Schizosaccharomyces pombe: one gene and its partners. The gene in region 3 interacts genetically with the main gene of each other region. Each region holds a gene or a part of one and is shown on either strand. Other genes may lie near its edges.

Evidence for each region.
Region 1: mutations in bdc1 (region 3) and gmh5 together harm fitness more than expected from each alone (negative genetic interaction), as found in Schizosaccharomyces pombe (2 studies listed by BioGRID).
Region 2: mutations in bdc1 (region 3) and ase1 together harm fitness more than expected from each alone (negative genetic interaction), as found in Schizosaccharomyces pombe (2 studies listed by BioGRID).
Region 4: mutations in bdc1 (region 3) and air1 together harm fitness more than expected from each alone (negative genetic interaction), as found in Schizosaccharomyces pombe (2 studies listed by BioGRID).

Annotation. Positions count from the first base shown.
Region 1 is NC_003424.3:4,547,900-4,555,595, reverse strand, and holds gmh5 (alpha-1,2-galactosyltransferase), read right to left. Parts: upstream 5,807-7,696; 5' UTR 5,671-5,806; coding exon 4,627-5,670; 3' UTR 4,354-4,626; downstream 1-4,353. Other genes in the region: rex1 (putative ribonuclease H70), read right to left, coding at 1-173; Fe-sulfur cluster assembly ATPase Nbp35, read right to left, coding at 528-1,481; moe1 (translation initiation factor eIF3d), read right to left, coding at 2,042-3,745; vma2 (V-type ATPase V1 subunit B), read left to right, coding at 6,768-6,808, 6,850-6,921, 6,980-7,028, 7,122-7,696.
Region 2 is NC_003424.3:1,874,168-1,883,058, reverse strand, and holds ase1 (antiparallel microtubule cross-linking factor Ase1), read right to left. Parts: upstream 4,871-8,891; 5' UTR 4,698-4,870; coding exon 4,274-4,697; exon of another isoform or gene 4,227-4,273; coding exon 2,455-4,226; 3' UTR 2,333-2,454; downstream 1-2,332. Other genes in the region: glutamyl--tRNA (Glu) ligase Mse1, read left to right, coding at 1-588; GTPase Ypt71, read left to right, coding at 1,149-1,229, 1,581-1,679, 1,734-2,180; SPOM_SPAPB1A10.08 (uncharacterized protein), read right to left, coding at 5,478-6,100, 6,173-6,800. UniProt on the Schizosaccharomyces pombe protein: Required for anaphase spindle elongation and microtubule bundling in both interphase and mitosis. Has a role in spatial and temporal regulation of septation and cytokinesis and ensures equal partition of segregating sister chromatids.
Region 3 is NC_003423.3:2,422,545-2,429,537, forward strand, and holds bdc1 (bromodomain-containing protein 1), read right to left. Parts: upstream 2,981-6,993; 5' UTR 2,930-2,980; coding exon 2,030-2,929; 3' UTR 1,871-2,029; downstream 1-1,870. Other genes in the region: cysteine desulfurase Nfs1, read left to right, coding at 216-1,721; rkr1 (ubiquitin-protein ligase E3), read left to right, coding at 4,023-4,051, 4,241-6,993.
Region 4 is NC_003423.3:976,865-984,140, forward strand, and holds air1 (TRAMP complex zinc knuckle subunit Air1), read right to left. Parts: upstream 3,905-7,276; 5' UTR 3,717-3,904; coding exon 3,495-3,716; intron 3,446-3,494; coding exon 3,344-3,445; intron 3,289-3,343; coding exon 2,665-3,288; 3' UTR 2,494-2,664; downstream 1-2,493. Other genes in the region: ilv1 (acetolactate synthase catalytic subunit), read left to right, coding at 245-2,254; U1 snRNP-associated protein Usp103, read left to right, coding at 4,376-4,385, 4,432-4,647, 4,707-5,029; SHREC complex ATP-dependent chromatin remodeller Mit1, read left to right, coding at 5,204-7,276. UniProt on the Schizosaccharomyces pombe protein: Component of the TRAMP (TRF4) and TRAMP5 complexes which have a poly(A) RNA polymerase activity and are involved in a post-transcriptional quality control mechanism limiting inappropriate expression of genetic information.

The DNA of each region.
Region 1 (7,696 bases), on a different chromosome or scaffold from region 3:
CTCTGAGAGTCGTCATTAGAGTCTGGTGAATCTTTCACTCCATCATTTGAACCATCCATACTTAGGTCTTCTTTTTTTCGCTTCACTTTCCTTTTTTCTCCGTGTGAAGCAACATTCTTTGACTTTTTTTCAATGGAGTCTTCTTGGGTTATCCCATCCTGAAGTTCACCCATGCTTGAGGATCCCATCTTTGACATTTTTTATTTTGGTGGTATCACTATGGTGGTCGGCTATTCCGCGGGCAATGCATCTTCAGATCCTCGGAATACTAATGTGCTTATGTTGATTGCGAGTTTTTATTTGAATTGCAGGCTTTAGCATTGTCTTGTATTATATCCATTAACTAAGGATTTCAAATTTCTTTTTAATCCAAAAAATGTCACAATGACTACATGTTTACTTTAAGTGCTCAATGAGGATATACAAGGAATATACTCAGAAGGTTCAATAAATATTTGAATAAACGTATTTTATATTATACAAAAAAATTGAAATTAAGCAGATTCCAACCTTTTTTTATATTTTTTTCATTGCCTTTTCTGTAAACTCTCATCAATTTTGTTAATAATATCAATGATAATTTCGGAAGCAGGCGATTCAGGACATTCATCAATAAAGCTTTTTCCAAAATCACATGAACGTGCAATCAATGGGTCCAAAGGAATTTTACCCAAGAATGGTAGTCCCATTTCTTTTGCTAACGCTTCACCTCCTCCTGTAGTAATAGTGAATATATTAGACTTGCCTTTGCAAGAAGGACATACAAAACCGCTCATGTTCTCCACTAATCCAAGGATAGGGATGGACGCCTTTCTGCAAAAATCTATTTCTTTACGGACGTCTTGAAGAGCAACCTCTTGAGGAGTAGTAACTACAACAGCACCATCAATTCCGGAATTTTTAAAAAATTGAACCAAAGATAAATGTTCATCGCTAGTTCCCGGAGGAGTATCAACAATCAAATAGTCTAAATTTTCCCAGTTAACGTCTTTGATGAATTGTTTGATCAGCCCGTTTTTTTTGGGCCCCCTCCATATAACAGATGAATCTTCGCTTGGTAATAAAAATCCAATTGACATAACAGCCAAGTTAGGGCATACATAAATAGGGGACCAGCCTTTGCTTGATTGATGGGCTTCCTCCTTTTCAACACCCATTATTCTCGGAATTGAAGGCCCGCAAATATCCACGTCCATTAACCCGATCTGCTTGTCTTCTTCAAGCGATAACCCCCATGCTAATTGCGAAGAGAATGTGGACTTTCCAACACCTCCTTTACCTGATAAAACAAGAATTTTGTGCTTGATTTCTTTCAAGCGTTCTACAACCAATGGTAAATCTGGATCTTCTCCACGAGGTGCTGAAGCGCAAATTTGTTGATTAGGGCATCCTTCACATGCTGATGCAGTTCCTGCATTTTCAGATGACGGTCCGGGGCAATGCTCTGGTGCATCTAAAGGAACAGTTTCTTGGATTTGCATAGAAAAGCCAATATTAAAGCAAATGCTTAGTAAAAGTCTTTATTTCACGTGCTTAGTGAACTTTTAGTAGCTATTTTTGTAAACCACGTATGGTAAATTATAAGTGTAATCCGGTGTAAATTCTCTTCAAACGAATTTTTGCTAAAAGCTTTACCTCTTGTTTTACCACAATATTCTGACTAAGCTTGAAACCGTTTTACGATCTCTTGGCTAGTGGCAATGAGCTATATCGGTTTTCTACTAATCGAGTTCTAATTTTTTTACCGTAATACCCTAAAGTGTGTTAAAAGCAATGTTCATGAAAAAAATCACGTTGGAAGCATCGAAAATCAGATATTTCCAAATGAATTAAACGGCACTTAATTTTCCTTCGCTTCATTTTTACTATTCCAACAAATACATTACTTTACACTTAGCTTCTAATTTACCGAGAAACAGTTCATAAGATTAAAAAATAAAGAAACCGAAAATATAAAACCGATTTAAAGATCTTAGATTTGCACATGTAATTGAGTATTATACATGTAACCTTTTTAATGAACTTTCTACATCCGTCCTTTTTAAGCAGTAGAAGAAGCTTCAAGGGAGGGTCCAGCAGCTTCTTCAAAAGTGTTGGGTGGAACAGAGTACAAGCGTAAAATAGGTCTGTTGGGATCCTTTACAAGGACATATTTTCCATCAGGCATTTTCAAACAGACATCTGCAATAGTACGAACAATACCCCAACCATTAGACAAACTTAAGTTCATTTGGGAAGCCAAATCAGCAGGCTTATAAGCTACAACACCCAAAATGCCGTGGTGCTGAGCGTCACGGGCATTTGAACGACTGACAAAACCAACCTTCATGCTATCAACACCAGCCAATAAAGCTTCGACAGTCCAACGGGCAAGCTTGCAACTATTGTTCTTCATTTCAGTGGCAAACACAGCACCTCTTTGACTTTCGAGCTTGGAACGCCAATCCACAGAACCAGTAACATTTGTAAATTTGGGATCGTACTCATTAAGAGCCTTGATAGAAATGTATTGAACATCGTTCGCAGGATTTTTAACATAACCGTCAACTTCGGTACGAACCATTAGCTTAACAGGCTTTTCGTCTGTCTCGAGAGAAAGATCAACATCCCGATAGATATAACCGTGAGCAGCCAATGGCTCACTTTCTTCCTTAGAATTATAGAAGGGATTGGGATGAGGTAATTTATATTTCTCTTCTTCGGTTTCACGTAAAGCTTGGACGCAGAAGTTTTGGTTAATGTACGTAGCTTCGACAGAAAGGGCTCCAGGAGAATTAACACCTTCGCGGTTGTCAGCGTCCATGGGAGAATCGTATGCGTTTTCATTGACAGTGAGATAATCAAAAGGTCCGCCTTCACGTTTGTCAAAGAATAGCTTTCCACTTTGGTGAGTAATTACAATATCCCAGGGATACACTGAGCGAGTTGAACACATCAATAAAGACAAAATGGAATCCGTAATGAAAATGTTAGCATCACTATTAAGAGCGAGTTTTTGGATAACGGGGTCTTCAGTAGTGGTAGGGTTGTAATGAACACGGTCCAAGGCTTGTAATGGTTTTTCTGATTTAACATGAATCTTGTCAAAAGATTTGTCATAAGGATAAATATAACCATATGAATCCACAGTAACAGGAGCAGCAGCAGCTAAATTGAGCTTAGATAAATGGCTGAACTCAACCTCGTCAAGAAGCTGCCAGTCGTCACCAACAGTAACACTGGCGTTGCGAAGACGTTGATGTTTATCATAATCCTTCCAACCAAACCGACGACCTCTTGCTCCTCCAGCGCCTGAGGATCTAGAAACCACTGTATCACCTGCACCTCTTCCACCAGAAGAACCGTAGCGACCGCCACGACCACCTCGTTGAACGTTTTGTCCTCTACCGCGAACCTTCAATAAAGTGCCGCCGTTGCGAGCGGAAGTGCGTGTACGATTGACAGAACCACGATCGATCACCGAGAAACTGGATTCGTCCTCCGAATGCTGATAACCAAAAATGGACGACGCGCCATAACCATAAGTTTGATATTGGTCACGGAAACGACCAGCAAATGCTCCTTGACGTCCACGTTGTTCACGTCCATCTTTAGGTTGATCAACAGACCAATCTGCAATTTTTCCAAGACGGTCACCTTTACTAAAAGGAGCATAAGGAATATCACCTCCTATCTGTTCCGTTTCAGGAGGTCCCCATGCTGATTTTACGGGTGCTAACTCAGGCAATTTAAATCCAGTTGCCATTTGGGAGTGGTGAAGTTTTCTTCGAAGTGGACGCCAGTATAGTGTGCAAACGAACTGGGAGACGCTAAAACACCAAAGCCAACAATGGTAATATTTGAAGTTCTAAAGCTTTATTTGTAATACAAAAGTACTTAAATGTAATATATATACTTTTTGGTTCGTGAAAAAGTTAAATGTTATACATTTCCTTTTGCAATCAAGGTGCTATATTTGTAGAAAAACTACATCTATTAACAATTAGTATATGTTACTGTATTTATCAAACTACTTCTTTATTTGTGAACCCACATGCCTATTCAGAAGACGATATGTGGAAATCTCAACCACTCACTACATTATAAAACTATAGTAGGTAGAATTACTTTATCATACTAGCAGGTTATATCAGCACTAAATGTTATTAAATTAAAAAATGGGAGAAATTGATATTGAAATAAAAGATATGTTATGCTATAATTTAAAACTGATTACGACATCAGACTTTGCCTTTATAGTCATTGTCTCAAGGCTTAAATGTTTCTGACAAAAGCATGTTTTAGAAAATTTTAATTTCGTCAACGCTGTCTTTTGAAGAAAGAAAAAAATGAACGCCAAGGTTCTCAGACATTCTCTCTTTTCTGTCATCACATGTCGCATAAAAAATATACACATCTAATCCTATTAAAACAATTGTTTGCGAAGAAATTAATGTATAAAAACGGAAAGCACCAAATATTAAGCAGTGTTAAATGACCGCAAAAGCTGCTAAGTAGCAAAGGAGAGAGTTTAGTGCATCACATGATAAAGGATCGCATTGACAGCCTAGCACACGCAAGGAAAAAGAATGATAAAGTATGAATTTAAAATATTAATAATAATGATGGAAATATGTGAGGTCTCTATTAAAGAAACGGAACTAACTTCCTCCAACCCCGTTTTCTTTGCGCTAATCCCTTATAATGATTTATTTCATCTAGGCAGTCCCTTCCATAATTACAGCCTGCCAAGTTTACCAAGAAGTCTCCTTCTTTTTGGTTATAAAAGAAACGAGGATTTTCACCTTCACCAGCACAAGCACCTGGAGGATATGAATTGAAAAGGCGAAGAGGAACGAATCCCATGCCGCTTCGAAGCCAAGCATTATTCTCGTAGAAGTACTCAATTGCATTTTGCTCATCGTGAGGCCAATCCATGTGCTTTTGCCCATAGACTACTGGATCCCAAAGGAAGTCCATCAATCTGCTAGTCCAATCACTTCGACGAACCAGAAAAGAACCCAAACTGAAACCGTTGCAATCTTGCCCTAAAATAAAGTTGATATCTTCACTATAGTCAACAAATGGAATTTCGTGGAAATTTTTTGGATTGAACTCCATGCTATCAGTAATATTCCTGGTCGCAATATGGTCAAGTCTGTTAATAATAAGCTTTTCAAGAGAATATTGAGGTTCCATGATGAATGTTGTTAAATCGACCCACCAAAACCATTCAGCATGAGGGTATTTCTTCATGGCTTCCATGATATAATCTGCTTTTTCCCAAGATTCACGCCATTCATGAGCATATCGTCTCTTTAAGCCTGTGCTCTTCACAAAGAAATGATATCCGTGCCTTTCAGCGTATTTCTTCTTGTTCTCCGTTGAAATCTTCTCCAGCTCCCATTGTCTGGGACTTTTTACATCTAAAACGCCACCTCCGATGTTATTGACAAATATCATAACAACATTACTCTCTTTGGGACGCGTCAAGAGTGTATGCTTTAAAAAGTAGCCTGAGCAGAGCAACAGTACCACAAAGACGAATAACCTATGTAGATGCGTCTTGGTAAAATACTTCCTTCTAGTATCACCTTCTTTGGAATCAAGTACATTGGAAGTGCCTGGCTTAGGGTAAGGAAAGGATTTAAACTTAGCTAATGCTTCTGACTTCTTTTTGGGGTTCCACATTTTTTAATATAATATAAGACTCGACGTTTACGTTAATTCTTCTTATTAACCTTTAAATTATATATTTTCGAATGATAATATGACTACGGCAATGCCGTTTGAGGTTTCACACAGAACTAGGCTGTTTGGCAAAGGCGAAAGTCGTGAGCAAGTAACGTCCCAGTGTATCAAAGCTGGCATAGCCTTGTCGTCGAGTAAATAGCCAAAGTACGCGATAACGTCGGTAAAGTTAAGTAGATTCTGATTGCATAATTTTATTTATTTGTTTACTCAAAAAGTTTTAGCACTTTTATTCTCGCGTTCATCTACTCAGATATGCTAAATAAATTAGCGATAGAAATTTTCCATAAAATATGTCAGTTGCAAAGACTCTGACAGATTTCTCATGGTTTGACGATGAAGGTATTTAGTTTAGTAAACAAATAATTATCAGCTACCAACTAATTTAACAATTCTGTTTTAGGAAAAGTGTAAACAACCATGAGAAGGAAACTTGGCAGCAACTCGAATTAAGGATTCGGCATGTAAAAAATTAGATATTGTTAAACAATCATTCTAATGTAACAATTGATAAAACATCACTGAAATTCTGTTAAATGAAACAATATTACTAATATTCGATTCAGCATTTAAGACATTTAATTAATCCTCGTTATTTGCCATCATGACAACACCGTGTTTCGTCGTATTTTCATACGCGCTATTATATATCGCTTGCAATGTTTATTCATTCATTCTATATTATAAGTGTTGAAAAATATTTAAATTTATTTATTTTTTAAACCAAAATTAAATTCAACTGGTATATATCGCTCTTGCTTCATTTTTCTTGTTTCATACGTGAGGAATCTATCGGTTTTACATAATTTTTTACGAATTAACGAAGTTCGTTATAGCATTTTACTATTAGTAAATAGCGTTATTTTCATACTATATCTTATTTAAAAATTGTGCATAGCTCCGTTTCAATAATGACAATGTTAAACGAGTTTTGCATATGTTAACAACGAGAAAATGCCTCTTTTTAGACCTCCTTATTCGTAAATGACTAGGAAATCCTTCTGCCTGAACCTCTAGTTCTCCAGAAAATCGTTAACATGGCGTCGCTCTTTGATATCAATGCAGCTGCTGCTGTAAAGTAAGTGTAAAATTTTACGAATGCCTGTATTAACAATTTAGGGATTATTCCATAAAACCTCGACTCTCTTACAATACTGTAAATTCTATTACTGGTCCTCTAGTAATTTTAGAGTACGTTTTCTGAGCCTTTTAGCCGTACTTTGATGAATTATTGCTAACTCTGCTATAGCAACATTCGTAGACCTCAGTACAATGAGATTGTTAATCTAAACCTACCGGTAAGTGCCCTTGAGAAATTATATATCTTGGAAGATGTGTTTCTTAATGTCTTCTGTTTCTTATTTCGTTACTTTATTAATGCTAATTAATAGGATGGTTCCGTTCGTTCTGGTCAAGTCTTAGAAGTTGCAGGTCATAAAGCCATTGTACAAGTTTTCGAAGGCACTTCTGGAGTCGATGTTAGAAAAACTACCATTGATTTTACTGGTCATTCCATGCGTATCCCTGTTTCAGAAGATATGCTTGGTCGTGTTTTCAATGGTTCTGGTTTACCAATTGATAAAGGACCCAACTTGCTTGCTGAAGATTATCTTGATATCAATGGTTCTCCTATCAATCCTTATGCCCGTATTTATCCCGAGGAGATGATTCAAACTGGTATATCTTCGATTGATGGTTTAAATAGTATTGCTCGTGGTCAAAAGATTCCTATCTTTTCTGCTGCTGGTCTTCCCCACAATGAAATCGCTGCTCAAATTTGTCGTCAGGCCGGTCTTGTAAAACGTCCTACTAAAGATGTTCACGATGGTCATGAAGATAACTTTTCCATCGTGTTTGCAGCAATGGGTGTTAATTTAGAAACCGCCCGTTTCTTCCAACGTGATTTCGAAGAAAATGGATCTTTTGAGCGTGTTACCCTTTTCCTTAACTTGGCCAATGACCCCAC
Region 2 (8,891 bases), on a different chromosome or scaffold from region 3:
AAACTAACAAAGAGCTCCTCAATTGTTGCCTTTGAAAAGCTTTACTTTTTAAACAAAAATTACCTGAGGAGAGCGATATCAGATGTTAACAGACTCGATGAGCTTATCGAACTGGTTCAGCCGAGGTTGATCCAAAAGTTTTCTCATTCTTCTAGAAGTCATGACAAAAGTTACACTAAAAAACTCTTGCTACTTTTAAAAAATAAAGTGCACACGATTAAGGAGTTTGAGAAGATAGTGTTCTATTTTTATGAGGCATCTGACCTTCAACAAATTAGAAGTTTAGTTTCCTCCCTCATCACGGTAGAAGAGCTTCCAAAAATTTTAACAACAATTTTAAACAAGTTCGAAACCATCGAATGGAATACTCATGAGATACAGATTAGTTTAAAAGAAATTGCCATGGAGCATCAGATGCCTTTGAAAAAAATACAGTCTTTACTTCGATATGGCTTATGTGGAAATCTGCCTGGAGGAGGTATTAGCGATACTATTAGTTTATTGGGGAAGGAAACAGTAAAATCCCGTTTGGAGCGTTTACTATTATCACTAAAGCATGAATTACCCAAAAGAAGTTGTATCGTATAATTCTAACTAACCAGATACAATCGTTTTTTCTTTGATACTTTTGATGCAGAGAATATAATAGCATTTTTATCAATCGTATATCTACAATGCGTTTTACGGAAAGGAACTTTATGCACAAATATAAATTCTCATTAGATTAGCTACAAAAAAAAGCAAGTAGCATCATTCAACAAATTTGTTGTAAGCAGTAAATGTTCAATAACTTTCAAAGTGAAATATAAAATCAAATTCACTGATTTTCTTTATGTAAAAGCAAATTATTAGTTTGCTTACAGTACTAGTTGACTTCCCAGGATAGTAGTCAGATAACTAGATCCTTCACTGTAATGTCTATTGAAAGCAAATGTATCTTATTAAAAACTTAGTGAGTTATTCGTTTTCGTTAAATATTGTTATAAAAATTTACGGTAAAGATTCGTATTTAAAACAACGCTATGCAACGAAGTATTGTAATGCTACTTACTGTAATGTGTCAAACTGAAAGACACTATCAATGCTGTCCCAGATGGACATTCTAAGGGCTGAACTTCTTACTACCAGGTACGACAGAATATACTTCAATGTCGGCTCAGAAAAGGGTGTTTTTAAAGGTTGTTATATTAGGAGATAGTGGCGTTGGAAAAACATGTTTAATGAATCAGGTATGTTAATGCTAGGGGAGTTGCTGATGTGGTCGACGTATCGTACAGACGAGCTTTTTTAAGCATTACCCTCGAATTCAACCATTGATGGTGTAGTGGTTATCAATTGAAGCGTTAAATTTTATACGTTCAGTATATTTTTCTTTTTGGTTTTTGTATTGAGCTGTAAAATCCAATACTGCAATTTCCCATTGATTTTATGTCGATAAGTTGTTATTTGTCGCTACAAGGTGATTGCTTTTAAAATTTATTCACTTTGTTATTAAATACTAGCTCAAATATGGTTAACGATCTTTACATCAGCTTCTCTATGAGTATTGCTTTGGCAATTTGTTAACATCGTCATTTTAGTTCGTCAATCAAAAGTTTAGTCGCGAATATAAAGCTACCATCGGTGCTGATTTTTTAACCAAGGACGTTGTGGTTGACGACAAATTGGTCACATTACAGGTAAGTTCCAATATAAGTTCCGCCCATCTAAATTCGTTTGCTAATTATAAACAGCTTTGGGATACTGCTGGTCAAGAACGATTTCAAAGCCTGGGAATGGCTTTTTACAGAGGGGCCGATTGTTGTGTAATTGTTTATAATGTGAATAACTCGAAGTCTTTTGACTCAGTAGAAAACTGGAGGCAAGAATTTTTATATCAAACTTCACAAGATGAATGTGCATTCCCTTTCATTATCGTTGGAAATCAAATCGACAAAGACGCGTCTAAACGAGCCGTATCTCTTCATCGAGCTCTTGACTATTGCAAATCCAAACATGGATCAAATATGATTCATTTTGAAGCTAGTGCAAAAGAAAATACAAACGTTACTGACCTTTTCGAAACAGTCAGTCGTTTAGCTTTAGAAAATGAAAGCTCGAGAGATGACTTTGTTAATGACTTCTCTGAACCTTTGCTTCTTTCAAAGCCTTTGAATAATACATCTTCTTGTAATTGCTAGATATTCACACGCTCTCTCAGATTCTTTTACATTTCAAAATGTGCTATACGTTTTCTTTTCATAATATTTTTTTACATTGCTATTTTAACAAAACTATGGTTACTTTCTGTTCTTAATTCTTCTCTTTTCCCTCTATTGATACACGTTTTTTTTTAGGTGTAAATAGTCTTTTAATTATGACCTCAGTTAATAAACTTTTATGAATTATCTATATGCTGTATTCATATGCAAAAATATGTATATTTAAATTTGATCGATTAGGTAAATAAGAAGCTTAAAAGCCTTCTTCTCCCCATTCATCCTCCATCGGTGTACAATTTGTAATATTGTTGAGTGGAGCAGAAAAAATGTTGGTAGTGGGGGACGGTGATGATGGAATTGTCTTTACGGGTGATGCTCTTATGGGGGATATCTTCATAGGAGAAAAAGGAAGGTTCTGCGAGCTGTTTTCAATGTCCATCTCGGGTGTTTGTTCTTTCAGATTAGTTCTTTGCAATTTTTCCGACATAATATTTAAAGCGTGTTCATTAACTACACGCTGCTTTGGAGGACTTAATGGGACGTTCTTAGATGAAGCCTTTGAATACGTTTCATGAGGAGTTCGAGAGTAATTTGGGTGCGGTGACTTGGATTCAAAATGTGTATTGCGAGATACAGAATTTGGAAACTTGTTAAAAGGGGTATTGGAATTTCCAGAAACGGGTGAAGAAGACATATTGCTGTCACTACCATTTGCCCCTTGTCTTATCATGTTCGCGCTTCGAGACCGACTAGCACTGTTTAATCTAGCGTTTATATCAATTCGATTAGCAGTGGGGTGTCTTCTATTGGCGGTACTGGTTGCTGATGGCGGTTCTGCACTAATGGAACGACTTGGATTTTGAGTGTTTTTTACTCTAGGAAGCGGTGTCCTTGGACTCGTCATAGCTCGAGAAGCGGACCTAACACTTGGTGTTGAAGGTACAGCTACACGCCCTCGTTGAGAAGGTGTTCTATTAACAGAGTCCGTTGTAGTTGCTGTTTTCGGGCGGTTTGCGGCAGCACTTGCACTTCTATATAATGATTTTGGTTGAGTGGCCTCTTGGCAAATCTTGAGAAGTGGTTCATCATAAAAAAGGAACGTCCTTCCATTTCTTTCTTCCCATGCTGTAATCTCTGGTATAAGCAGCGACTGAACCTTAGGAAGTTCTCTAGAAAGTCGCTTACGGATTTTCTCTTCACGTAGAAGTAAACCTGGGTCCCGGCGTCCCCGTTGTGTTAGACGAGAGGCATCATTAGAACTAGCTTCAAGCTCTTTCTTTCCTTCTATTAAAGAGGCATAGCGATTAATTAAGCTTAAAAAGGACTTATTAGCAGAAACTTCGGCCTCTAGTTGCTTTATATAGTTTTCATGGGCCGTAAGAACCTGCTCTGTAATAATGTCTTCATACATAGGTGTAAAGGACTTTCTTTGTTCTTCTGAATAAAACAGAGAATCCCAAAGCTGAAGAATTTGTTGACGACAGTCTTCTAAAAAAATGGGTAAATGCTCCTTTTTTAACTGATGAAGTTTTTCAAGTTCAGTTTCCCATAATGAAATATTTTCTTGATTAATGTTTGATGAATCGCCAAATTGACTTTGTTCATTGGGAGAAACTTGAAGCTTATTCCACAAGTTGCTAACTTCTGATTGTATACTTTTTAAATGATCACTTCTCTTTTCTTTTTCAGCGGAAAAAACTTCTTTTTGCTTGCAAAGTTGGTCGATAAGTTCTTGAGTAACATAAACATCATTTGGTCGATTAGTATGGGATTCAAGCAATTGTTCGTATTGTGGAACATCAGCGGGCTCAACACCGAGTTCAGACCACAAACCCAAAATTTCTTCTTCAAAGGAATTAATAACCTCTAATCTCGCATCAATCTCCTTTTCGGCTTCGTTGATGCGTCCTCTCAAAGATTCAGTAAAAGCATCGGATACATCAGATAAAAATGAATTCTCAAAATCAGGTAAAACGAACGGACTTCCTAAGCGGTTACAATATGACTCCAATTTGTGATACATTTCTATACATCAGTTAAAACACAAGTCTAAATTAAAGACGATTACATACCTTTAATCGTACTTAACTTTTGATCATACTGTGCCATATATTGTCCTTCTACCATTGACAAACGATTCAAACACTGAATTAAAGGAGACTCAATTTTGAGACTAGAAGTATCATCCGTTAACTTTAATGAGGAAACCAAAAATCTGATTGAATCAATTCTTTGCTGACAGTCATCTTCAAGTTTTTTCTGGCACTGTTCCATTTCATGAAGCTGGGCATTCATTGCCGTTGTAAACAACTCAAATAATGATGAATTGTCTCCATCTGTTCCAAGGACTTGGTGAAGCCTTTCAATTTTAGAAAAATGCTTTTCCACTTGTTCACGAAACGCTTTCCAAGTAAAGTTAGATTCATTATTAGAGTGATTATCTTTTTCAGCAATAGAATCAGTGCTTTGAATGTCATCCATCATTACTGTTTGCATTGAACCGGTTGATGTAAATGAGCTCAATAAAACGATGTTTGAAATTCAATTAATAGAATATAAAGGAAGATATGAAAACTGTTAAGATGTTGATATATTATAACATAACAAGCAGTACAAGGAATTAACCTTGCATAAAAGCTTGGCACAAAAATGGTGGTTGGATATGGCTTGGCCTGCGAAAGTAACTCAGCATGCGCTTATATTCCAAAGAAAGCAAATAGATTTCAATGTCAGCACTGTATAAACGTTATTCAGCTCCTTTTAGTATAAACAAAATACTTAGAATTGTAAGTTGAAGAATATTTATGTGCCTGAAATATACCAATGTAAGGAAGCACATAAAGTTCTACAAACTGGTATCTTTTGCTCTACCTAAAATATGATACAAGAAAATTCAAATACTGCTTAAAAGGATACAAAGGCTTACTTTTTAAGTCTTATCGTAATCAATATAATTAGACTTATGCATACAAAATATCATCTAAGAGAGAAAAGCATTCATGATTTGTTCAATTCTTTTATTTGCTCATATTCAAAGACAGGATCTAGGACTATGGGAGAATTATTTTATGTAATATTAACCGCAATTGGGATTCAACCCAGTATCGCGAAACCCATTTCCTTTAAAAAAAAAATCATATACAACAAAAAGAAACAATTGTGAGTCGATTGTCCATAAAGACAGTAGGGATAAAAAAGTATTGGGTGAGAAAAAAATGAAAATAAATATAACCAGCTTGGAAGAATGCAAATGTATATAAGTCATGCGTTAAATTTTTACAATTCAACATGCAAAGGGCTAGTGGAGAAGGTAACGGCAGGCTTTGGGAGGTAAATTAACTGGGCTCGGCCAGCAGTGTTTGCTGATAGCTTTCCAGCTCGTCGCATTTGAGCTTCTAAAACAAATACTCGGAAAAAATTAGGATTTAATCGAGGACGTCTGATTTCAGGTTTCACACTTCGCTTTTCCCAGGGTTGAAGCGGGGTGTACAAAGTGAAATTGGCATCTGGCGCACAATCCTCCATCAACCAATCATCCTGAAAAAGCTTGAAATTTTGACAAAGCAAACCATTTGTCAGGTTGCTTTCGCCATGCGAAGATGAGAGATTTAAAATGGAGGCACTTGGATCCAAATGCACTTCTGGCTTGTGAAATACACGTCTGATGATATTACGAGATAGCGACATTATTTTATGCTGTAAAGAAGCTCGAGACTTATTTAAAGATGCTAAAGATGTTTTTTTGGACAACCTAGATGAGTAGAAATTAGATGATAAACTAGAGCCACTCCTATTGCAGGCGGTCAAGTTAGAGGAAGCATCCTTTGATTGTTCCAAAAAAGAGGATTGCTCCTCAAGACTTTTAGAAAGTGGATGGTTATGCTCTACGGGCTCCATAACTATGATATTGTTAGCAACGATGAATAAATAAAAGATAAGAGAAAAGGTTGAAAAATCTTAAAAGAACATACATTGACCTCTTAAACGAGGAACAGATTTGGATTTTTTTAAGTTGTTAATATTCAAGTAAATATCAAGGCTATTTGCGTTTACGAGGTTACAAGAGGAAGAGCTGGGAGTTGCAGGATTTGGCCCCGAATAGTAAGAGTAAGAAGCGACTGAAGACGTTTCCGAAGCAGAGTAGGAGGAGTATTCAGGGAATGAATTACACGAAAAATTCCACAAACAGTCGTAAGAATGAGAGTTGGTAGAAGCAGAACACTCGACAGGTGTAGAAAGAAGAAAGCAGTAATCACCTCTATTAACATCATCATTGTGTAATTTTTTGGACGAAGACAAAAAACGATCTAATTGTGATTTAAGAGTTTTTTTATTAGATAGAGTACTCAAGCGATGTGAAATTTTTCTATAACGATTGGGAACAGGGATCTTGGTTTCACTCAGCAACTGAAAAACGGCGTCTTGCTTTGATGCACAAGAATGGGTATCCTGAGACTGATAAATTAAATCCATCTCACTAGCTTGAGAGCTGCAAAGATTATGATCCCAACATTCGCATTGACAAGTTACCGGAGCTACTTCTGTGAGTGCTTTAGAGAAGCCAATTTCCAATGGTCTTAATTCCATCCGAGTCATCATAGAAAGAAATGTAAAAAGAAAGAAAATATAGCGCCTATATATAAAGCCAATTGATCAAATCCTACCGGTTTCTAATTGCAAAGCAGTTCATAAAGTGAATTAGAAGCTACAATGTTGGAAAGCTATACGACCTTCGAGCTTTCTAAAAATACAACAAACAAACGTTAAAGCCTTCAAAAGACGAATAAAAGGCTCAATTGCTTCTAGTTCTCGTTTTACAGCAAAAGAATGTGAAAACTGATTATCGAATGAAGGCAATTAAATTACACACGTTCACGGGTGATGAAACTTCAGCAGGCTAAAAGCACTAGCCAAAATTCCTGGCTTTTACAAGCAAAGGAATGATTACTGTTGAAAAATAAACCCAATTTTTACAAAAAAACAGCAATCAAGGAATTGTGAAGTAGGGATGGTAAATAGGGAAAGCAAGGAGAATTGCTGATTTTAAAGACCGGAAGAGACAAGTGGTTGCTTGTTTACCGTAATATTACTCCTCTATAGGCGAGAGGATGAATGCCGAAGTCCGGATAAAATTCCGCGGGGCTTGGGTATTGTTGACTTTGCTAGAAATAACCAAAGTATTTTCCTCCTTCACCAGCGTTGCTTATACGTTTTTACGAAGTCTAACAGCAGCGGCAGTGACTGGTTTTGCGCAGCCACGGATGAATGTATTAAGGATAAAGAAAGGACAAAGTGTGGTATAAGTAAAAATGGGATCTATAGGAATAATGATGATGAGATGCGATGAATGATTTGATATCCAAATGTGACTGAGGAAGACCTATACAGAGACGTATGAGAAGATATTTCGGATTTCAAAATCACTTTCTGAATAGCTTTCTTTAAAGAACGAGTCGGAGCTCACCTGTATTCCCAATGGCAAACTTGTATATGCTCTTTGCTGTTTCTCTCAAATTCCCAGTTTGCAGATCCGTATTTACAAGGGCAATTCGGAACTTTGTATTGTTGATATTTGGCAACGCTAGGTTAATTACTAAGGCTTGAATTATCGTTGTTTGTATTAGTAATACGAAGGGTTATGTGACAAACAGTATATGAACAATATGAGTTTTTATTTATGATTTGTATGCTTTCAAAAAAGAAAAAGGATACTGAATATCTTTTCTAAGTAATTGAAATACATTTGAAAATTTTATCGCTATTACATTCTCTCCCCTTCATAGCCGAGTAGTCAGTGTGATAAACGTAAAATAGATTTAAATTAAAAGATAGTCATTTCCCTTACACATTCCGTTACATCAACCGCATACGGATTGGGAAAAGCATATTTCTTTGTTCAGCTAATGGAGGAAAGTCGAGATTTTTTCGTACTAGTAAAATTTCCTCCTATCCAAAACTTAGCATATTTCGTTACTCACTAGTTCTGATGGTAAAGTCACAAGAAAATGGAAGCAAAATTTGTGAAATTAAATTTTCGGCCATCAAATAGGAAAAAGAGCGCATTGGGTCAGTAGGAAAAAAAATTAAAAAAATTACACACACATATACACATAAATGAAGATTGACTTAGTCGGTATCACATTTTGATCAATATCATTTGACACAAAAATTTCATGAAACATATTATTCAATTTGTCACGATGTCTTTAGCTATTTTTTTTTTAACTTGTTTTATTTTACTTGGTTTTAGTGAGATTTTCTTTAGGGCTTTGCTATGTTGAATAGTATACTTACCGGCAAGTGTTCCTAAGCCGAACTTTCCGGCTATAACACGTTAGAGAAGGGTCTGTCAAATCAATAGTAAAGTCCAATCTGCCAAATAAGTGCACGATAATAAGGTTGCAAGTAAATTTTTACCCGATGTAAAACTTCTAATTATTTTGCACTATCAACATCCACGGAACTCACGTGCCTTGCAATCCATGGAGCGAGTCTTACTATCTGTCCATATACAAATATATAATTCATTAAAGAATAAATTAGAACAGCTTTTACATCAGATAAAACGGTGCGTATTCAAATTTATTGCAATCCATCAAGATGCTTAATACCATATAATTGGCTTTTATTTAGCACGTAAAAAATTTTTTCAGTACTTTAACACTACACTGAATAGATTTTAGGGAGTTC
Region 3 (6,993 bases):
CAATGATAACATACTGATAATTGCGCAGCTCTACATGTATTGGGTCGAAGCTTAGTTTTGGTTGGTTTCAGATACGCCGCCAACCAAAATTTTTATTAGTCAGATCGCAAAATTTGAACTTAGCAACTGCCAAATTATTTTAAAAAGGACTTGTTTCTTGTTGTTTAGGAAATAAATAAAGAATTAGCAAAATTTCCTCTATTTTGGAAACAACCATGTCCAAAATGGGAAGTTTGATGCTTTCTAGAGCAAGATGCCTTCTTGAACTACGAAGTGCTTTATTTTTTGTCAAGCGAGAGAGTCAGGATATTAATAATGTTAGACAGAGTCTTGGAGTTTACGGTAGGTCGTTTATGACTTCCAGTCGTATGGACAAACCTTCAATGAGCAATAAACCTCGTGAACAAATGTACGGGCTAGGAAACATGACGGCGGTTCAAGAGCCCATACCGGAAAATTCTTTGAAAACAGTAACTTTGGATCAAGCACAAACCGCTGCTAGTACGGTTACGGGATTGCATCCTATATATATGGATTTTCAAGCTACCTCTCCTCTCGACTATCGTGTACTAGATAGTATGCTTCCCTTCTTCACTGGAATTTATGGAAACCCACATAGTCGAACACACGCCTATGGCTGGGAAGCAGAAAAAGCTGTTGAAAATGCACGCCAAGAGATAGCATCTGTAATCAATGCTGATCCAAGAGAAATTATTTTTACATCTGGCGCAACTGAATCAAATAATGCTATTTTGAAAGGTGTTGCCCGATTTTACAAAAGTAGGAAAAAGCATCTTGTTTCCGTTCAAACTGAGCACAAATGCGTTTTGGATTCCTTACGTGCTCTCCAAGAAGAAGGGTTTGAAGTTACTTTTCTACCTGTTCAAACTAATGGCCTTATTAATTTGGATGAATTACGTGACGCCATACGTCCTGATACTGTTTGTGTAAGTGTAATGGCCGTCAATAATGAAATTGGTGTTTGTCAACCACTAGAAGAGATTGGCAAAATTTGTCGACAGAAGAAGGTTTTCTTTCACTCAGATGCTGCTCAAGGATATGGAAAAATTGACATTGACGTCAATCGAATGAACATTGATTTAATGTCTATTTCTGCTCACAAAATTTACGGCCCTAAAGGAATTGGAGCCGCTTATGTTAGAAGACGTCCTCGTGTACGTTTAGAGCCGCTTATTAGTGGTGGAGGTCAGGAACGAGGTTTACGAAGTGGTACTCTTGCTCCATCTCAAGTAGTGGGATTTGGTACTGCGGCCCGTATATGCAAAGAAGAAATGAAGTATGATTATGCACATATTTCCAAACTATCCCAAAGATTAATAGATGGCCTTCTTGCAATCCCATATACATCTTTGAATGGCGACCCTAAATCTAGATATCCAGGTTGTGTCAACATTTCTTTCAATTATGTAGAAGGGGAATCGTTGCTTATGGGTTTGAAAAATATCGCGCTGTCTTCTGGTTCTGCCTGCACATCCGCATCTCTAGAACCGTCTTACGTTTTGCGTGCAATTGGTCAGAGTGATGAAAATGCTCACAGTTCTATTCGTTTTGGTATTGGCCGATTTACAACTGAAGCCGAAATTGATTATGCTATTGAAAATGTGAGTAGACAAGTTTCTTTCTTAAGGAATATGAGCCCGTTATGGGATTTGGTTCAGGAGGGTGTCGATCTTAGTACTATAGAATGGAGTCAACATTGAAGAACGCTTAATTTTACCTATTGAAGATTTTATTTTTTTTTTATATGAACGTATGGAAGTTGAAACTTTTTACCAGCTGTTATATAGTTACAAAAAACTAAATTGTAAATTATCTCATACTTGATTTGAATCTATACGAAATAAATACACGGTTATGATATAAAAAAAAACATAAATTTGATAAAAATAAAATATAGTACCATTTAAAAAATATGTACCCCCAAGTCGTCAAAATTATAGCCAAAAAATGATATGAATCCAAAGCATAAACAAAAAATGTTAAGGAATATAATTAAAATGTAAAACACTCATTGAGAACGGGTACTTGCCTGACGATAAATATCGAAAAGCTCTTCTGTGTAGCGAAAACATTCATCTCCCCATATGGACATGGCGTTGGCTGGATCGCTGCCATTGTACATTTTACAATTAGCAAAGATTCGAAGAACTTCTCGATACAATTCATCCACTTCCGTGATGTTACCCTCTTTGATCATATTCTTCAATGTTCGTAAGTCTTGAGGTTTATAAACTAAAGAATCGTAATCTGGTGCCTCTTTACGATTTACAGGATGACTAAAAGGTGCTCCAAACCTGTGATTAGAAATATTGTCGAGCATAGGAAGCATTGCACTTTGGAACTTTTTCAAAGACTGCTTTTCTTCATTAGACAGGGCAGCGCGCTTTTTTGGAGTCTTAGTTGTGGGTGCAACTTCGGGTTCGATATTTGCAGGAGCTGCAATCTCTGGTGTTTTCTTTCTAGAACGAAGAGATTTATTAGCAGCCTCTACAGGAGCTTCAGTTTTCGCTTTTTTTGCTTCCTTGTCAGCTTCTTCAAGTGCGAGTTGATCCTCCACAGCTTTTGCCTTTGCCTTTGCAACCTCTTCATATAAGCTTTCCAGTTTTTTTTCACATCCCTGTATCTCTTCAGCCAAATCCTTTAGGACATCGTTCCGCAGCCTTTTTCGTAGATTTTTTCGAGCATCATTATCGTTTTGAGAAACTTGGTTGGAGAGAAGCTTTGAATCAGATTTATTGCTATCATGCATCCATTCCTCGACCAGATCCTTTAATTGATCTTGTTCAATTGGCTCTAAAAGCAGGCTGCTTTCTGCCGTTCGATTGAAGAGTTCTTCGTTGGGAGCATTAGGATTTTCTTGCTGAATATCAAGATATTGTAAAACAGCAACCTCTTGAGCAATATTCATTATGCACTATACTTGCATCATCTCCACTAATTTTACAAGACAAGACACGGTAGAAAGGGAGTCCTTCTTTTCGTAGTGTACTACCTCCTTCATACGGCGTGCGCGTAAAACCTAAATTCTCGTTAGAGATTGCTGTAAAACTTCATTAACGCAACAATGCTAAATAATTTACGTTAGTTGCCAACCTTACACATGTTGCATATCTTAATAATTCAATGTCTTAGTTTGAAGACTTCTATAGAATTGCAGTTTGTCAAATTGTAATTGATTCCTATGATACCAGTGAATTATGTTCTATAAACCTTTTGCGTAAAATCTTTAAATTTTGCTGGATAGTCACATCATACTAACCAAGTTTCCAACGTTTTCTGTAACTAACGCAATATTGAACAGATCGCAATAAAAATCATCGTATTTTTACTGCATCCTTAAATTAGATAAGGTATTTTGTAGATGACACCGTTTGATAAGTTACTTTAAATAAGTTTTGCGATTGCAATTAAAGAATCTGATATGTAAGCTACGCAGTTTGGTATCTGATTTAAGGATACGTAGAACTGCGGTGAGTTTTCCTTGTGATCTATTATATTACAATACACAGGTTGTATAAGTAGCAACTGAGTATAGGTATTGTATTAACTGGGTTATAATGTTACCTATCACTAATATAGCTCATAACTGAACTGAGGAACGAGGTTCAGCAGTAGCTCTATTTATAGTATTCAGATAATATTGATCTTAATAGATTATCATTAAGATCAATCTCCATATCGTATCATACATGGTACGATATATAATTAGAACATGTGACATATAGTGATACGCAACGTAGTGTATCATAGCGTAGTGTAGTATTGCTGACATGATATACAGTTTAGCAAGCTACTTAATTCCTTTTCCGTCATCACAAATAGTTAAGCTTTAAAGTATCAGTTTATAAAGCATTGCATACCACAATGAATTGCTTAAAACAACGTTATCAATAACCTATGATAACGTCGGACAGACTGATATCTGATTTCCTTTGTAATTTTTCATTCTTTGTGCCAAATTGATCCGCTGCATTCCATTGCATTGTAAACTAAAAAAAAAGATGAAAAAAAAATCTACGGATTTATACGGGTAAGTAAAGATGTGAGAAGATGGTAACAAAATGGGTTTGCACACAAAATAGGGTCTTTCTCATTGGATATATGCAGAACACCTATGTTATTACAAATCCATACTTTTCCATATTTTGGGGAAGTTTGTTTAAAAATACAACGATTCTTTTTTCTTTATGTATGTGCCGAAATGCTAATCTCTTTATAGCCGTAAAAATCCCGGGATGCAATCGATGTCAGGATCGTTTTCATCCTTGCAAATTGCGTTGGATGAGTCCAGCTCAAATTTTAGTACGATATATGAGCCTCCAGACTTGTCTGGTTTAGACGCAGAAATGATTGTTATTGTGAAGAATTTGCAAAAGCGTGACATCGTAACGAAATGTCGAGCTTTACAAGATTTAATTCAGTGGAATGACCCATCACAGTTTGACAATGAACAGTTTCTAAATGCTTTGGCAGTTTTATTTCCTCGACTATCTATAGAAGTGGAACGACATGTGCGGTTAAAAATCTTTGTCTTCATGTCTGTTCTATCTTCTGCGCTTCAAAAAAAACTTGCACCATGGCTCAAATTCTATATCACACCTTGGGTTATGGGTTTTTTTGATTCAGATCGTGCAGTCTCTGTATCAGCAAAAGACTCTTTTAAAAATTTACTCTCCGAAGAAAAGTGGCCCCATGTTTGGCTGAAGTTTGGATCTACTATCGCACCTATAGTCACTGATGTTTTTTTACATGAAGACAAAGAATCGTTAACGGATTTGCGTTTTTTTTCAAATGAAGAAGCTGAATCGAAAGTTACCAGAGTTAAATCTAGCTGTCTTCTGACCCTTTCTTTTCTTTTCAAACAGACTGCCGATTTAGAAAATCTAGAGACAGATAAGAAGATAGATAAGCAAACCTTTAAGTCATCTCTTTACGAGAACTTGTCTACACTTTTCAAGTCTGACGAATTTTGGTCTTTGGTTTCCTCACCTCAGGATGGTGTCACAGTGAGCCTGAGCGATTTATTGCTCATTATCTTGAAGTATGATAAACCTTTTGTTACCCAATATAAAGAGAAATATTTTAAACGTGTTTCACGAATGATTTCACGACTAACTAGTTTGACCTGCGTCCCTATGCTTAGGCTTCTTAGTAACATGATTTCTAATTTCCCCAACGAGGTTCACCAATTTGCAAATGATTCAAAACGTCCTCTTTCAAAGTTGTTCTCAAATTTGATCACCAAGCGAATCAGCCTTCCTAATTCTGGGTTTTACACATCCTTGCTGAATTTGTTTAAAAGTATAGGCGCTATGCAGCTCGTTCCTTCCATTGAAAGTGTAGACGAATTGTGTGATGCATTCTTAGAAACTGCAAATCAAGAACAACGTTTCCTATCTACTGAAGTTTATGACTGTTTACTCAATTTCTTGTCATTTGTTTATACCGATTCTTCCGATCCTCAAATTAAGGATCATGTCCGTGACCGTTTAAGGACTATATTTACCAGGTATTTTAAAGGTGAATTTGTTCTACGCTGTTCAACGTCTGATTTCGATCATTGCTTGCAAAGTGTATTCGATAAAAATTCAGATTTCGCCTCGCTCTGGAACGAAGTGTTATTTGGTTTCTTTAATGATGAATCTATGGACATTGAAACTATCCCATTTGATTCTTTATCACGTAACTTAAGCTTAACCGTTCAAACAGTTTTATATCTTAAAAATAGAAATTTTCAAACTGGAAATGAAGTCATGTCGATTCTGGGACCTTGTTTGTCATTTTTAATGAAATTGTCTACCCACAAAAATGAACGTATTGCATGTTTATCGGCATCCCAGTTAATAACTGTTTGTCACATATTCAGTGATACTACATTGATTAAACCCGTTAAGGAACTTTTTCAAAAATATTTGGTGAATGATTTGCCTTCTTCGATTTTAAAGCTTGGGCCTCAATCTCCAGCCTTTACTTTGCTTCGTGATATTCTTTTACTTCTTAAAGATTACGCGGATCTCTCTGAGCCTTGGGAAAATGTTGCTAATCAATTCACAGTGTCCTTTGATGAACTGGAAAATATTAGGGTTTTAAATAGTCTTCCCTCTTTGTTTGCTGATGGAAAACTAAGGGGGAAAATTTCCTTGGTAAAAACATTAGTAGAATACTATGATACAGCAGTATTTGCTATTATGCAAAACCCAGGAAACGATTGGGATATGATAAGAGCGTGCATTGGGTCTAAGGAAATCCTTGTTCCAGAAGAAACGATTAAAAATATTTTGTTTACGACCTTGGAGTATTTTCTTACGAATGATTGGGTTGATAATCATTTGATTATTTTGTGCGCATCATTGCATTCTCTGAAAGCTCATCTTCCAACAATATTTGATGAAAATAAATCCTTGTATTCTTTGCTTCCTGTGATCCTTTTCAGTAAACCAGAAGATGATGGCCATGTTGCAGCTCATTTTGAAAGTATCTTCTCCCTATTGAAAGAGAAAGCATTAGAAGATTCCGGTTTTTCTCTTAAACTATGTTCAGAAGTGCAGGAATGGTCATTGAATAAGGTTTTGAATGGTTCTATAAATGAAAAGTTAGCTGCTGATAAGTGTGTTCTTGTTTTCAATTCGTTTGGAAAACTCCCTTCAAACTTCTTTACGTTTCCTGCCTCTTTTTGGGATGCAAAAATATCCTCTTGCATTCCTTTTTTCTCTAACAAGTTGTTCATTGACCAAGATTTTATTCTCGGATTTCTAGATTTAGTTGCCTCAGAGCCCATAAATGTTGATATGACAGACGTAGGTACTCAATTTGTGCATATATTCCATGCCTCCTTATACACTTTATATTATGTTGAAACTACCGGATGCGACGGTGATGCTTTATTTAACCTTACGTTTGCTTATTTGTTAATACGAATTTATTTACAAAATGGCATACAAAGCATAATTGATGTTCCCATCCGAGATGCTG
Region 4 (7,276 bases), 1.4 Mb from region 3:
ATCTGAACTTTTTAAAGAATAATAACACGACTTCAAAGGGTATAGTATTATGCATCGGTATATTTAATCTCCGGGGTACAGTACTTATCGTTAACAAATCTGATCTTTTTTGTGGTGGTGAACAACCAATGTTTTTAGGCAAAAATGAACCTGCTCACTTCTCATACCGCTCAGCATACCGATCTTTTGCAACTTGAAAGATAGCTCTTTCTAGAAAGGAATTGAGGGTTAAAAGTTATTTATAATGACTGTGCTGGCTCCCCTTAGAAGATTGCATACGAGGGCGGCTTTCTCGTCTTATGGACGAGAAATTGCCCTTCAAAAGAGATTTTTAAATTTAAATAGTTGCTCAGCTGTGCGGAGGTATGGCACCGGCTTTAGTAATAATTTGAGAATTAAAAAATTAAAAAATGCATTCGGTGTCGTTCGGGCAAATTCGACCAAAAGCACCTCTACAGTGACTACGGCTAGTCCTATAAAATATGACAGCTCGTTTGTTGGAAAGACTGGGGGTGAAATTTTCCATGATATGATGCTCAAGCATAATGTTAAGCATGTATTTGGTTATCCAGGTGGTGCTATCTTGCCTGTCTTCGATGCAATTTATAGATCTCCTCATTTTGAATTTATCTTGCCAAGACACGAGCAAGCTGCTGGACATGCAGCCCAAGCTTATTCCCGCGTTACTAAAAAACCCGGCGTTGTATTGGTTACTTCTGGACCCGGTGCTACGAATGTGATTACCCCGATTGCTGATGCATTGGCCGACGGTACTCCCCTAGTTGTATTCTCTGGTCAAGTAGCAACCAGCGCAATTGGTAGTGATGCATTTCAAGAAGCTGACATGGTTGGTATTTCTCGTTCATGTACTAAATGGAATGTAATGGTCAAAGATGTTGCTGATCTTCCCCGTCGTATAGACGAAGCTTTTGAGATAGCTACTTCTGGACGCCCTGGCCCTGTATTGGTTGACCTTCCCAAAGATGTCACTGCTAGCGTTTTGAAGGAGCCCATTCCTATACTGTCTTCTGTACCATCAATGAATCGCAGAATGAAGGAAGTCTTAGAAGAGGGCTCCAAGAACGTTACTGCCAAGATCGATCGTGTTGCCAATTTACTAAAATTAGCCAAGAAGCCTGTGATTTTCTGTGGGCATGGTGTTTTAGCTAATCCCGAATGCCCCACTTTGTTACGCAAGTTTAGCGAAAGGCTGCAAATTCCTGTTACTACTTCTTTGCTTGGACTTGGTGCTGTAGATGAACGTTCTGACCTTAGTTTGCATATGCTCGGTATGCATGGTAGTGGATACGCTAATATGGCCATGCAGGAAGCCGATCTTATCCTTGCTCTTGGTGTTCGCTTTGACGACCGTGTCACCGGTAACGTAAGTTTGTTTGCTCCTCAAGCACGTCTTGCTGCTGCCGAAGAGCGTGGCGGTATTATTCACTTTGATATTTCACCCAAAAATATCGGTAAGGTCGTACAACCTACTGAAGCAATAGAGGGCGATGTATACGAATCTCTAAAGCTTTTAGATTCTGCTACTAAAAATATTAAAATTCCTTCCCGATTTGACTGGTTATCTCAAATTCAAACATGGAAGGAACGCTTCCCTTTCACTTTCACTCGTAGCGCTCCTGGTGAATTGGTAAAGCCTCAAGAAGTCATTCAAGAACTTGACAAACAAACTTCTGACATAAAGGACAAAGTCACTATTACCACCGGTGTCGGTGCACATCAAATGTGGGCCGCTACATTCTATCGTTGGACAAAACCTAGTTCTTTGGTAACCTCCGGTGGTCTCGGTACTATGGGATTTGGTCTCCCAGCTGCCATAGGTGCTAGCGTTGCTGCACCTAAAGATATTGTTATAGATATTGATGGTGATGCTTCATTTTCAATGACTGGTATGGAACTTGCTACCGTCCGTCAATTTGATATCCCAGTTAAAATTCTTATCCTAAATAATGAAGAGCAAGGCATGGTCACTCAATGGCAAAACTTGTTTTATGAGAAACGCTATTCTCATACTCATCAAAAGAATCCCAACTTCGTTAAGTTGGCTGACGCTATGGGCATCAAAGCACTACGTGTAGAAAAGAGAGAAGATTTGGCTAAAAAAATGAAGGAGTTTTTGTCAACTAAAGGTCCTGTGCTTATGGAAGTTTTGGTTGCCCAAAAGGAACATGTGTATCCATTTGTCCCTGGTGGTAAGGCTCTTCACCAATTTATTTTGCATGAAAGCCTTTCATAAATTTTTTTGATTAATTTAAAAACAGCTATTTTGTAAGAGTCAGATGTAACACTTATTTAAACTTGCGTTAATTATCGTGTCACATTCTTTTAGACTCTGGTGGGCGGTTTGTCATTATTTACCCTAAAGCAAATTTGTTTGTTTTGCCTTGTTATCTTCGATTTTGGTTGTTTTTTTTTGTTTTGCTTTCTAACTATGGTTTACTCCGTTATCATAGCTTGTATTTAATTTTGATGATGGAGGTCAATAACATTACAAATTTTGCGAACATAGCAAATGAGAGTGTATAAAATTAATGTACATATATTTTAGATTTTGCCAATAAATTTTAGTAAGATAGTATTATCAATGAGTGCAATGCAATGTGAGCAGAGCGATACACCATGCGATGAATAATACCAGCACATGAATTACCATTTTCGTTTACGATTTTTTTTTGAAGTTTTGGTAAATTTTCTTCCATCTGAAGAATGAAAGGATAAATTGCCATTCTCCTCAGAAGGTGGGCTATGTTTTCTTTTAAAGCTTTTTGGCTTAGATCCCAGCCTAGATGCTAGAGAATTTCCTGGTTTGTGAAAAGGCCGTTGTTTCGACGATTTTTGATTTCGATTCTGCTCTCGCCTCTCCAATTGAAACTCTTTACGACGGGTTTCAAAAAACTCCTTGTTAGATGCATCATTTCCAGAAGGACAGTTCGCTTCACAAAATGCAGTGCTTTCAGGATAATTTGATCTAGATGGAAGAGTACAGTCGTCTCCAAAATGTTCATCAGATGCACAATTATAACAAAACTTTCGAACCTCAGAAACATCAATGCGAACAGGATGTTCTTTTTCGACATAATACCTCCAAATTAAAGGACACGTCGAACTAGTATGAGTATCGGTATGACAAGTCCGACAAACTCTAGGTCCTCTTTTTCGCGGCTCCGAACATCGCGCAGCTATATGACCCAGTAGTCCACAATTCATGCACTTCTTAGTCCAGGGGCATCTTACGGAAATATGATCATCAATTGCTCCACAAGTCGTACACTGTAATACAGTTAGTAACACTATTAAAAAAACAATGTCCGATCAAAATGCATACCAGAACATGAGGACAATCTTTAGATATGTGACCATTCCCTTTACAATTATGGCAAACTATACTTTCTGAGGGATCTGACCCGAAGTATCTACCCCTGCTCACCTAAATTTTATTAGTAAAAAGTATTAAAAAAAAACTTTTCAATCCATACGTCTGCCCATTCACTTCCTTCCACATCTTCCAAAGTACTATCGGAAAGATCCGTAGAGGAGTCATGGTCATCACTTCCTTGAAAATCATGCTTTTCCAAGCTCACCGAATTTGTGATACTCTGGTCAATCGGTAAAGAATTAATTTTTTGTAACAAGGCCGCATCGTCGATGTCTGAACCATCATCACTTTCTGCTTTTTGGTTTGAAACAGTCATGTCCATATATTGACAAGCAATGTAATAATGGCAAGCACAGTTTTCTTTAACACTTAACAGCCGGCCAGTAGTTTACTTCACAATATTCCCAATCAATTTAACAGTTTAAAAGCAAATAAAACATAAAACACTTCAAGTATTTAACTATCAAATGGAAATTTAATAGTTTCAGTAAAGGCAAAAAATTTTTGGTTAAGGTGTGAGTATTCACCTTACATGGATTATATCTGGCTTTCTCATGAGAAGTTTATTTCATTGAAATGAGCATGACAATAAATGAAATTCAATAAATAACTTATACTCCAAATTACAATTGTTCTCTCAAATGCAACACTTAATGCATAACCAAGAATGTCTGGTACTTAAAAGCCCTGATCGTGAAGAGATATTGAAAGTACAGCAGTAACTTAATTATATTAAAATATTAAATGATTGCACCTTCCCGACTCTTCAAGGCGTTGGATTTTAAAGTAGTTGAAAATTCGAGAGCTTCGTTTCAACACTTTGTAAAGCATAGATAAACAGTAATTTAACATTCAATGTTTAACTATGAACGTTCTTTGTATAGTTGTTGCTAATTGACATTAATTTCTTTTTAAATCATTTTAGCGTTTCAACACAGCTCACATTTATTACAAGACTCAACAACAGCCAAACACGCTAAAATGCCAAGATGTATGATACGATGAATAACAATAATTGAAAACTAATTAATGCTTAGATTTGTGTGATTACTGCCAAGTTTGGCTCACTCATGATAGCCAATCAGTTAGAAAAGCACACAATGCTGGAAGAGCCCATATACAAAATGTTCAGGACTACTATACGAAAGTAGCTCAAGAAGAAGCCCAAAAACAACTTGAAGAAAGGGCATCCTCTGGATTTTTAAAAAAGGGGAATGGTTCGCTAGACCTTCCTTATGCTTATGCGTTTCCTCGTAAGTTATTACTTTATAATACTTTTGTTGAATACGAAGTCTAATATTCCGAATTTTAGCCAAATATAATGTCTTTAACTTAGGATGTCCACCACCGCCCTACATTGTATCCGCAAATACCTATATGGCTCCTAAAGGAATGAATGCTATGAATGCTGCTGCATTCGTCCCTATGATGCCTGCTGTAAATTTAACAAACCAAGTAGCTTTTTCAGCTCCCCAGACTACAGCTTCTTCTAACACTCAACTTACACAACAGCAGCAATCTCTTCCTCAGACAAATGAACATCAACGCGCGCGTACTCATTCGAATGCTAATAACCATTTTACTAAAACCCACCATCAGGGTCAAAGAAGTCATCAAAGGTTTGTACGTGCTTAAAATGACATCTAAAAGATTAAAACTTGTTTGTTACTATTAATGTACTGTATAATAGCTATTGTTTATAACCGTTTACTACTGGTAATTCTTTCTCTTTGCGTTACGTAGTGAAATTTAAGGACAACTCCAAATACACAGTATTTACCAAGAATATTTAGATATTCATCTCAAAGCATGCCAAAAGAAGATGATTCTTTATGTAAAATAGTAGTACGTCGTGAACCGCTTGATGTTTTACTACCTTATTATGACGCGTCTGAAACCACCGTTCAAAAAATACTGCACGAAAATGACAGCACACTGAGTGTTAAATTCTTGGCGGGTGTTGAAGCATTGATAAAAAAAGATGAACTTGATAAATATAAAAATGGAAAAGCTTGTTTAAGAGTATGGTTAAAACACAAATCTCGAAAGAGGTACCATGGGTATATGACTTCAACCGATAAGGATGAGGAAGAGAAAAATGATTATTTACTGAAGTCTAATGGTAGTAAAGTCTTAAGGGACTCAACACGTACCAAGAAATTTAAGTTCGGAAAGGAATTTCACTGCGCACTTAATCCTTCATTTGTCAGTGATGAAACGGCTTCTGACAGTGCAACTTCATCTTCATCTGATACAAATAAGAAGGTTAATAGAAAAGAGCATAATGAGTTATCGTTGTCGCATTTATCTTTCAATGACACGTCCGACTTTGGTAGCTCCGATCTAAGTTCTTCGGAAATTGAGTCCACAGAAAACGATAATAAAGCTCCTTATTTCTCACTTCTTTACTCTGACGGATTTGATTTTATCAAATTTTTACACGTCTGTGTATGTGTCAAATGTCATGGACGTGAACATCGTTCCTCTGGTAAAAATTTTGTTTACTGTGATCATTGCTCAAATGTATACCACTATGACTGTTCTCCACTCCCTTCTTTAAATAAAGAAACGCGTAATTACTCTCAGCAAAATGGTTTTATATGTCCTTTATGTTCCAAAAACTCTAAGGACGTTTTGTGTAATACCGGGTTTGTTTCAGGCGTTTCTTCTGGACAGGATCTAGTTATCCCCCCATCCCTTGCTGATAGGGAATCTCTGTCAATTTTAGTCAATTACTGCAAGTCTATAAGGTTTCGGTGTTTTCGATGTAGGCGTGTCGAATATTTTTTTTATCTGGACAGTAATCCTTTGTCTATTCAGAGAACAATTACTCATTTTATAAAAAAACTTGTTTGTAATGAATGTTCTATGCATCCTTGTGATATTGAAGAGATAATTGCTTGGAGAACTCTAAACAGTTTATATCCTTCAAAAGCTACCCTTTCAAATAATTTTGTTAGTACATCGGACTTGAGCTTTTGGTCTAGAGAGTATTTCGTTCGAAGCAAAGGTAAGTCTTACCTTCACTGTTTTTGGTGTTCTGCTTCATGGCTAGCCGGTATTTCATTAGCTAAAAAGAAAAATTTCGATGGTTTGGAGAATGCCTCATACGACGCAACTAAGCCCATTATTCCAGTATCGTATACAATAATCGATAAGGTTTGGGATGTTCAATATAGAAGTGGAAAGAATGCTCGAACGGCAAAATATAAAACAAAAAAACATCAACTGAAGGCAATTTCTGAAGTTACATTCGCCTTTGTTTCTTGGCGTGGTTTAACTTATTATATGTCAAATTGGGAACCACCTCCTAAAGAAACAGATAGAAATCGCTGGAAAGCGTGGTTAAAAGGGTATTCGGACTTGTTGGAATGTCTATGGATCGAAAAAGCCCCTACAGCTTCGATAAATATTGATTTACCATTTACTAATCTTGAGTGGCACTCTCAACCAAGTTTTATCAAAGGTGGTACACTAATGCCATATCAACTGAAAGGGCTGAACTGGCTTTATTTACGATGGTACACACATCATCCTTGTATTTTAGCTGATGAAATGGGTTTAGGTAAAACTGTACAAGTAATATCTTTCATTAGTGTTTTATTTTACAGACATAAATGCTTCCCGGTACTGGTTATTGTCCCTCATGCCACTGTTGCAAATTGGGAACGAGAGCTTAAAAAATGGGCTCCCTTTCTACAAATTAATGTACTCGTGGGCTCTGAAAAAAACAGAAGTTTAGTCCGTGATTATCGTCTAATCAATCAAAAAGACCCAAAACATGTAAGCACTCATGTCCTCGTTATAAGTGCTTCAAATGTTGAACGTGAAATTTCATTGCTCCGAAAATTTCAGTGGAAAGTTTTAATTGTTGACGAAGGA